Linked DNA regions of Macaca mulatta. The protein of the gene in region 1 purifies or fractionates together with the protein of each later gene. This does not show direct contact. Links are inferred from orthologs where the notes say so. Each region holds a gene or a part of one and is shown in the gene's direction. Other genes may lie near its edges.

Region 1 (4,045 bases):
CGTGAAGGGCGCAGGGGCGGGAGACCCGGGGTCGGGCTCGTCTGAGGGCCGGGCCGGGCGGCGAACCCTCCTAGGCCAGGAGCGCGGAGTCGCGCAGGCCCCACAGCGGCCCTCGGGAGATTGCGGACCCCGGCCCGCTCTCCCCAGCGCAGGTTTCTCACCTGGGTCAGGCGAGGGTCACGCCAAGCCGGCTTCACACCGCGGAAGGGAGCTGCTCCGCGCTTTTATCCCACCGGCCAATCGCACAGCGACTCACACCGATTGACAAGCTCCACGGACCAACCACTTGTGCGCATGGGCGGGACTAAGCCAGCCAGAGTCCAGAAGCCCGCGCTAACGGTTGCTAGGGACGCACCGGCCATTTCCCCCCCCCCCTACGGCGCTTCGGAGGGGCCAAAGCAATAATGGGCGCCTCCGCCCCCGGGCTGGTCAGCTGCGGTTTCCTCCAGTCTCGGGATCAAAATAGGTGAGTATCGCAGAGCTCGCCTCTTGGAGGCCTCTTTCTGAAGGCGGAGGACGCGGGGCGGCTCGCTCATGGGCTGGGCGGCTCCGCAGGGTAGACGAAGCCTGCAGCGTCCGCACTGGGCTGGGAACGGTTTGCAAGGGGAGCGCGGCTGGCGCCCCGGAGCCGGCCAGCTGGCTGGCGGCCCCACCATCGCAAGTGCCCCGCACCTGCCCGCCTGCTCTGAGCATCTAGAGAAGGCGGCATTTCGCATGGGTAAAATCCGCGCCTGGACGCCGGGAGAATGTTGTTGCTCTTGCCGTTCGGCCCATTGTACAGACGCAGCCAGCGAGGCTCGCAAAGCTCAGGGATGCACGTAGGACTGGCCCGCACCTTGCAGCCACGGAAAGATCCGCCTGGCCCGCGGCCCCTCCACGCCTCCGAGGTCGAGACAGTGACATAAGTCAACTCTCGAGCCCAGGGCGTCTCTCCACCCTTAGACGTCCACTCCGTCTGCCTGCAGCTACGGCCGGTGCGTCCCGCTTCGACTCCCTCTGCTTTCCTTCTCAGCTTCTCGCCTCCAGACTGTTCCGGCGCCGCTGCCTGAAATTACCTGCCCCGGGGGAGGCGCGGCGCGCGGCGCGCAGCCTCATGACGGAACTACAACTCCCACGAGGCGCTGGGCACACGCAGGCGCGCCGCGGCTGAACTCGCAGCGCCGGAATCCTATTGGCTGGGCCGACTCTGAGGCGGGAGCCCTGATTGGTTGATGGGTCTGAGGCGACAGATTCCGGAAAGGGGAAGAGCAGCCAACATGGCGGCGGAACGCGGCGCGGGGCAGCAACAGTCGCAGGAGATGATGGAGGGTGAGCGGCCCCTGCGGGCGGCGGCCCAAGGGCCGGGCGGGCGGGGGGAGCTGCGGGCCGGAACTGCTCCGTGCCTGAGAGAAACCCCACGTCCCGCCTCCGGCCGCCGCCGCGCGGCCCCCTGACAGCTGACAGCCGGACCTGGGGGAGCGGGGGAGGCTCTGGACCTCGGGGGAGCCCCGGCCTGGGGGCGGCAGCGGCCGGGAAGGACCCAGAGCTAGGGGTAGAGCGGCGGCGCGAGGCCAGGCCGGGGGTGGGGCTGAATGGGACGCGGTAGCTCCATTCAGTCCAGTTGGAGCCTCGCCCCGAGCCTCTGAGATTGACAGGCGGGGGAGCCTCCTCGGTCAGCTGACGAGGAAACTGAGGCTCTGGGCGCTGGGATCTACCCGAGTCTGCTCCTTGCTTCGCGTGGTGAGGGTGGAGAAGGGTCTTCTCCTGAAATCGAAAGGACTGTTGGCGAAGGGGTAGCAAGGAACCAGAACATTTAGTTACACAAGGTGATACCTCTTTTCAAAGCTGTCATAGTTCCAAAAAGTCTAAATTCAACTTTCTTCCTCCTCATTCATTTTGTTAAAAACAAAACAAATTTAAAAAAATGCATACATGTATATGTTATACGTACACATGTATTTATATATAATTCTCTACATATCTGTAGGTACGGTCATACGTACATGTGCAGTATGTGTATAAACATGCGTGCACACACCCACCAACTGGGGAATCAGTTGTGTCACCAAGTGCTTAAGTGCTTTTGGGTCCCATGGTTTGGTGAGGGGTACAGCCCTCCCAGAAGAGCAGTCACTGCCTCATGTGAAAGTGGTAGGGAGGAGGAATGTGGAGCTGGGGAAGGAGGGCGGGTGCAGAAGAAAGGGCTGACATGTTCGGGAGTGGTGAGAGCTGCACAAGCAGGGCCAGCTCTGAGCTGGAGCCTGAAGAATAACTCGAAGGCAACGAGGTTGGGGATAAGGTGAGGGAAAAGAGCAAGAATCACTCAAGATGAAGAAAGCTGCGGTCAAAGGGTGTGGAGGAGAGTTTGACCAAATCATATGTGGTGGGGATGGGGGCGGTGGTGTTAAGGGTCTTGGACTTCATACCCTTGGAGTCTTTTTAAGTAAGAAGTGCCTCTTCATATCCTCCCACTCCCTCTTCAACTGTTTGCATGTCTTGGTAAATGACAAATATAAAAGCCCGGCTTTTCTCTCTGTCGCCACTCCCACCCGTGTCCTATTAGTCAAGGAGCTCTGACTTTTACTTTTAAAAATAATCTCCAAATCTTCGATGCGTCCTCCATTCCCATTGCCAGTACCTTAACTCAGACCTTCGTCATCTCTAGGCTAGATTGATTGTCTCTGCTCCCCAGCCCATCGTCCCCAGCACACCAAAGTCATTTTCTTACATTCTGATCCACTGTGGCATGTTCCAGACCCTCTGCTGCCCTCAGGCTTCACTTTGGCCAACCTTCATTAGCTAAGCCCCTCCTAACCTCACACCACTCCTCTTCCTGGGGTTTTTGCACCAGGTTGTCATGCAATAAGAACTTTCTCTCCCTGAGCCTGGGCCACCAAGTGACCTGTGCCTGGTGGTGACTAATTTGTTAAATATCTACTGCATGTCATGCGTGTACTAACTGCTCTTGTGCCTTTTCTAATTTAACCCTGACAGCAACTCGCTGAGGCATAAGTTCTATACTAGCTCCCTTCCACAGACTAGGAGATTGAGGCTTTCAAATGGAAATGATTTGCCAAACCTGCATCTCTAGCAGCAAGCTGCAAACTCAGGAAGAGCATTCCAGAAATACTTTTGGACTCAAAGATCGGATTTGGATTTTAGAATTAGATCAGACTCTCTGGCAGTGGAGAATAGGTTAAACAAGGCAAGGCAAGTCGCAGAGAGACGAGTTAGGAGGCAGGGCAGGAGCACAGGCCACAGCTAACAAGTAACTGAGCTACCGTCATTGCGGGGGTAGGGAAGAAGAGATGGGTTTGGAGGGTTTGGAGCTGGGTTTTATGAGGACTTGTTTTATACAGCAATCCTTTCTTGGGTTTTACTTTGCTAGGCTAAGCAGGAAATACAAAGCTGAAATTGAACTTTTTCCCTCAAAGAGCACATCTCTTTGTAGACAAACCATAGTCAGGAAAGAGACTATTTTCAGTGTGGTTGATAATTCCAAGTAATGTGTTAGTGCCTCATGTTTTCCAGACAGACTTCCAAAAGAGGTCATGAATAAAGTTATAAAAAAGAAACGATTTGACAACCTTACCAAAGCATTTTTGCCTGACACATTGAATTGCCTTATTCTTTAATTCAAAAAATATTTATGAACCTTTAAAAGCCTTGAGTTGCTAACATTCTGTCCAGTGTCCAGTGTGAAAGCTCATTTCACACCAATGAGCTTTCTGTGGGCGGTCAGCACTACTGGCTGTATTCTCCTTTTCCTTAGTGATCCTTCCTGCCCACAATCTGATTTGAGTTAGTCTTGATTTCTTTCAGAACGTGGGCCTGTGAACTTGGCTGGTTTTCTTAGCCAGATCAATAGTAGAGCATGGATGGAGGTATGTGGCAGAAGAGTCACAGTGGTGGTCACCCAGCCCGAAAGCGAAAGGCACTCAGGCGGTGCTTCACTACCTGGTTCCATTAGTGGATTTAATCACAAGTGATCCAAGGCTTTCAGAACACTGGGCAATTCTTCACAAGCTCCTTGAGGGCAGAAGTAGTGTGTTCCTCACCTAAGTAT
Region 2 (4,007 bases), on another chromosome or scaffold:
AAGGGAAGAGTCTGGGTTCTGAGCTGATTGTGCTATTTGTGTACAGTGTGTGTTCCTTTGGGCTGTTAACATTCTTTCAAGATAGAAGCTCCAAGATGTTTCCTTACCTAATCTCCTAAGTGGCATACCATCATCACTTCTGCCGGGTTCTATTGGTCAAGCAAACCAACCTTTACAAAGTGGCGGGGAGCTATGCAAGGGTATGAATAACAGGAAGACGGGATCCCTGGGAATGACTTGGAATGTAAGTGGCATGGTGGGCAGAACCATAGCCTAGGGTGAGATAGCAGGAACCTGGAATTATAGTACCTTAATGTGATATGAACTGATCTGAGCAAATGTGTTTGAACACTCACCACATGCCAAGAGCTGTTCTAATCCCTTTGCATGCGGTATCTCATTTAACCCTCTTAACAACTTACGGAGGCAGACACTCTATCCAGAGAAGAAATTGAGGTACAGAGGTTAGTAGCACAGTGACAGAGCTATTATAAGGAAGGACTTGTCAGGACCTGGAGAGAGACTGGGTATGAGAAAGGTAAGTGGCTGTCACAGTGTCCTATGGGATTTTTCCAGATAAACCACCCTGTATAGTTAACCGATCCATCCATGCAGGGCTAGGATTCATTTCGACCTCGCCATAGTAGCTTTCCAGGGGCCAATCCCACTCCAGCCTAAAGCACCCCATAGGCTATCATTTAAACTGCAGTAGGAACTAAGCCTTAGACCAGAAATTTCTCCCTGATGGGATCCCTGGAATGGTTCCTAAATAGCTGGGTCTTGTTTCCTGACAATGCCGCCTGCCCCGAGGCTTGATGTGACTGCATAGCTTCTGCCGTTTGTAAAGGCGGGGAATGACGTTTTATGTTTGAACCCAGCAGGTCAGGCTCCTGAAGAGGTCAGGTAGTCTGTGGAGAGGACTACTGGTGTTTGCTATTTATTACATCTCTCCCAACACATAAAATCTGGGGTTCACCAAAGCAGGCGGTTTTCTTCCACATACTCCTCTAGGATGGAAAATGCCCTCCAGTGGAAATGCCTTTCCACTCTGCTTCTGCTGAATTTTCCTCCAAGATTTCCTCTAACTGTGGACTGCCAGCTCCTCCCTGATGTCTTCAGGCCCCAACCCAACCTGTTCTTGTTGCAATCCACAAGACTCCTTTCAGCATCTTAACTTTTTCCCCAGTTTTCTTTCATTTTCTCCTGGTCTGTGTTGACTGCGGTCTCCTTCTCAGCCTTTTCCGTCCTTCATCTTGTCCTACAAAGCCACACCTGTACCGACAAGTGCCAAAGAGTTTGATCATTTACTTAATGTCAACAAAAGAAAGAAAAAAAAAGCTCTAGAGTCGCCTTGGCCTGCGGCACCCAAGCCGAGTGAACAAGTGGGGCCCGCGCACCCTCCTACCCTCCACCTCGCATGGAACCCCGAGCTCTGAAACATGGAAAGGCCCAGACCTGCTGATTTAATCTAAGTCCTGCAGTCCCCAAGAGATCATAGACTGCAGATCCCAGTCCCACGAACTAAGAGAGGAGAGGAGCAAGGCTACCCCGGACTACCGCAGCTCGGGGACAGCGCGCAGACCAGGCGGCCCGAGATGCGCAGGCCACGCAGCCTGGCCGACGACTGTCCCTGGAGAGCCTCCAGGCGCCCGGGTGGGGCCGCGATCGCGCCCCGCTAGTCACCCGGCATGTGGGCGCGGCGGGGCGGCGCGGGCGGGCCGGCTGCAGGAGCTGTTTGGCGTCCCGGTCAGAGTATTTGCTCAGCCCGCCTGCGCCGCTTGGGACGCTTCTGCCTTTCCCTCCCTCCCTTCCCCGACGGCTTCTGGCGGCCAAGTGGATGTGGCGGGTGATCGGGCCACCCTGCCCAGGGGCGCCCAGCACTGGTAGGTGCTGGGGTTGGGGAGAGGCTTTGGCGAGAGTGTGCATGGGGTGGGAGTAGGGGGAAGGGAATTTCCTCGGGGGTTGCAGGGGTGCATGGGAGGCGCAGGGGCCAGAGGGGGCGGGCGGAAGCCTCACCCCCGCCTCCACCCCTTCGCGCCGCCCGGGGCGGGCTCAGGTGCGGGGTTAGGCGGCTAGAGCGGCTGCGGCGGGTATCCGGTGTCCGGTGTCCGGTGTCCGGTGACTGGAGCCGCTGGCTAGGTGAGCGGCTGTCCCCGGGGTCTGGGGGCTTGCAAGGGGTGGCGGGGGGAACTTCGAGGGAGAGGGTCTGCCGGAGCTGAGGACTTTCGGGGAAGTTCTGGGATCCGGCGGGGACACGCGGCGCGTGCTTCTACCCGCAGGGAGTGCAGGCCCCGGGAGGGTCCGGGCTGGACTGGAGTTTCTAGACTCCTAGCAGGAGCACGTCCTGGACCTGCGCCTGGAGATCTTCCAAGAGGGAAGTCCCGGGAAACAGTGGCAGCCGGCGCAGCACCCCGGCAGCGCGTTCCCCGCGCGCCGGCACCCAGGGGCGCCCCCAAGTGGGGTCAGGGCGCGCGCGGAGGCCCGTGCAGCGCCGCCTCCCAGGGGCTGCTGCGGCGGGGCTGGCCCAGACCCAGACCGGGTGCCCACTGGGCTCAACCAAGCGGCGCCCCTGCCCGCTCCTGGACTCGGGGGTTACGCGGGCACCGGAAGGAGCTACAGTTTGTAGGTTTTCTGAGTTGTCTTTCCCTTCCCAGGGAGCTTAGAGAAACAGCAAGCGTGGCACCTCCCCCTTCCGAACAGATGCTCCTCATCGCCCAAAAGGCTTTTATTTGATTGCTGGTTTAATGGAAACAACGACTTGGGTACCATTATTTTAAAATAGTGAATAAATAAGTGGAAAGCATACAGGGGCATAGATTTGGCATAGGAGTGGAATTTTCTATGTATACTAAATCTGTGTGTACAGTAACTTCAAATTTCTGAAGAATAGTATATATTTACAAAACTTGCCAAATTGCTGTCATCTCTGGTAATTTGTTTCATCTCCAAAAACAGCTCTTTTGCTGGTAGATGAATAAGATAAAGTTTGAATAAGAAAACAAAGCTCGACCACAGAGCTGGCTGTTTTAAAAGAATTAGAATTCAAGCTGTATTGTTAATGTTATAGTTACACTGTCCATACCACAATACTTTTATTTATTTTTTATTTTATTGGGTAAGTGCAAAAGTAGTTGTGTTTTTTATGGCAAAAACCACATTTATTTATTTATTTAGGCCATAAAAAAACACAATAACTTTTGCACCGACCTAATGTTTTTCATTTTTGAGGCAGGGTCTCCTTCTATCACCCAGGCTGTAGTGCAGTGGTGCGATCTTGGCCCACTGCAGCCTCAAACTCTCCAGCTCAAGTGATCCTCCCACCTCAGCCTCCCAGGTAGGTCGGACTCTAGGTGTGGGCCACCACACCTGGCTAATTTTTATATTTGTGTAGAGATGGAGTTTTGGCATGTTACCCAAGCTGGTCTCGAACTCCTGAGCTCAAGCAATCCACCCACATTCACCTCCCAAAGTGTTGGGATTACATTTTGAACCACTGTGCCTGGCCTACTATTTTTATGATTTAGGCTGTATCTTAGGCCTTTAAAATTTTTTATTTTGTTTAGGTATCAGAGTTATCCAAAAGACAGTTGTATGGTAGAACAGTGTGAAGGTGTGAGAATCAGGTCAAATCTATGGTATCATGGAAAACAACAGATTCTCTGATCCTTTAGCAATTGCTGTTCAGAATAAATTGCAGGTGTGGGCTTGCTTCTTATCATTTCTCTCTTTTAAGAAAGGTGCTGTGTTAGCTGAGCTATTCCTTTGTTGGATCTTGAATAACTGGAGGTTTGCTGCCCTTGATATAGTATGGGAAAGTCCTCAGCATTTGAATCCGTATCAGCAATGATTATTTGTTCTCGTCAGGGAATGAAAGTGGGAAAACCCTGGTTAGTTAATTTCCTCATTTCTATTTCTTCTACCGTGGCTCCACCAGTCTCCTTCACTTCACAGTAGATTATGTCACATACCGACTCATTAGGAGTCACAGACTGAACCAGCCCTCATTT

The links.
Region 2: the proteins of PPP1R7 (region 1) and SH2D4A purify together in Homo sapiens (affinity purification with mass spectrometry; 3 studies listed by BioGRID and IntAct, counting the BioPlex papers as one, with this or other methods). This does not show direct contact. The link is inferred for Macaca mulatta from reciprocal best matches to the Homo sapiens genes PPP1R7 and SH2D4A.

What each region holds. Positions count from the first base shown.
Region 1 is NC_133417.1:146,420,506-146,424,550, forward strand, and holds the start of PPP1R7 (protein phosphatase 1 regulatory subunit 7), read left to right. Parts: upstream 1-1,243; 5' UTR 1,244-1,256; coding exon 1,257-1,308; intron 1,309-4,045. UniProt on the Homo sapiens protein: Regulatory subunit of protein phosphatase 1.
Region 2 is NC_133413.1:20,954,381-20,958,387, forward strand, and holds the start of SH2D4A (SH2 domain-containing protein 4A), read left to right. Parts: upstream 1-1,195; 5' UTR 1,196-1,837; coding exon of another isoform or gene 1,838-1,883; intron 1,884-1,958; exon of another isoform or gene 1,959-2,139; intron 2,140-3,232; exon of another isoform or gene 3,233-3,334; intron 3,335-4,007. UniProt on the Homo sapiens protein: Inhibits estrogen-induced cell proliferation by competing with PLCG for binding to ESR1, blocking the effect of estrogen on PLCG and repressing estrogen-induced proliferation. May play a role in T-cell development and function.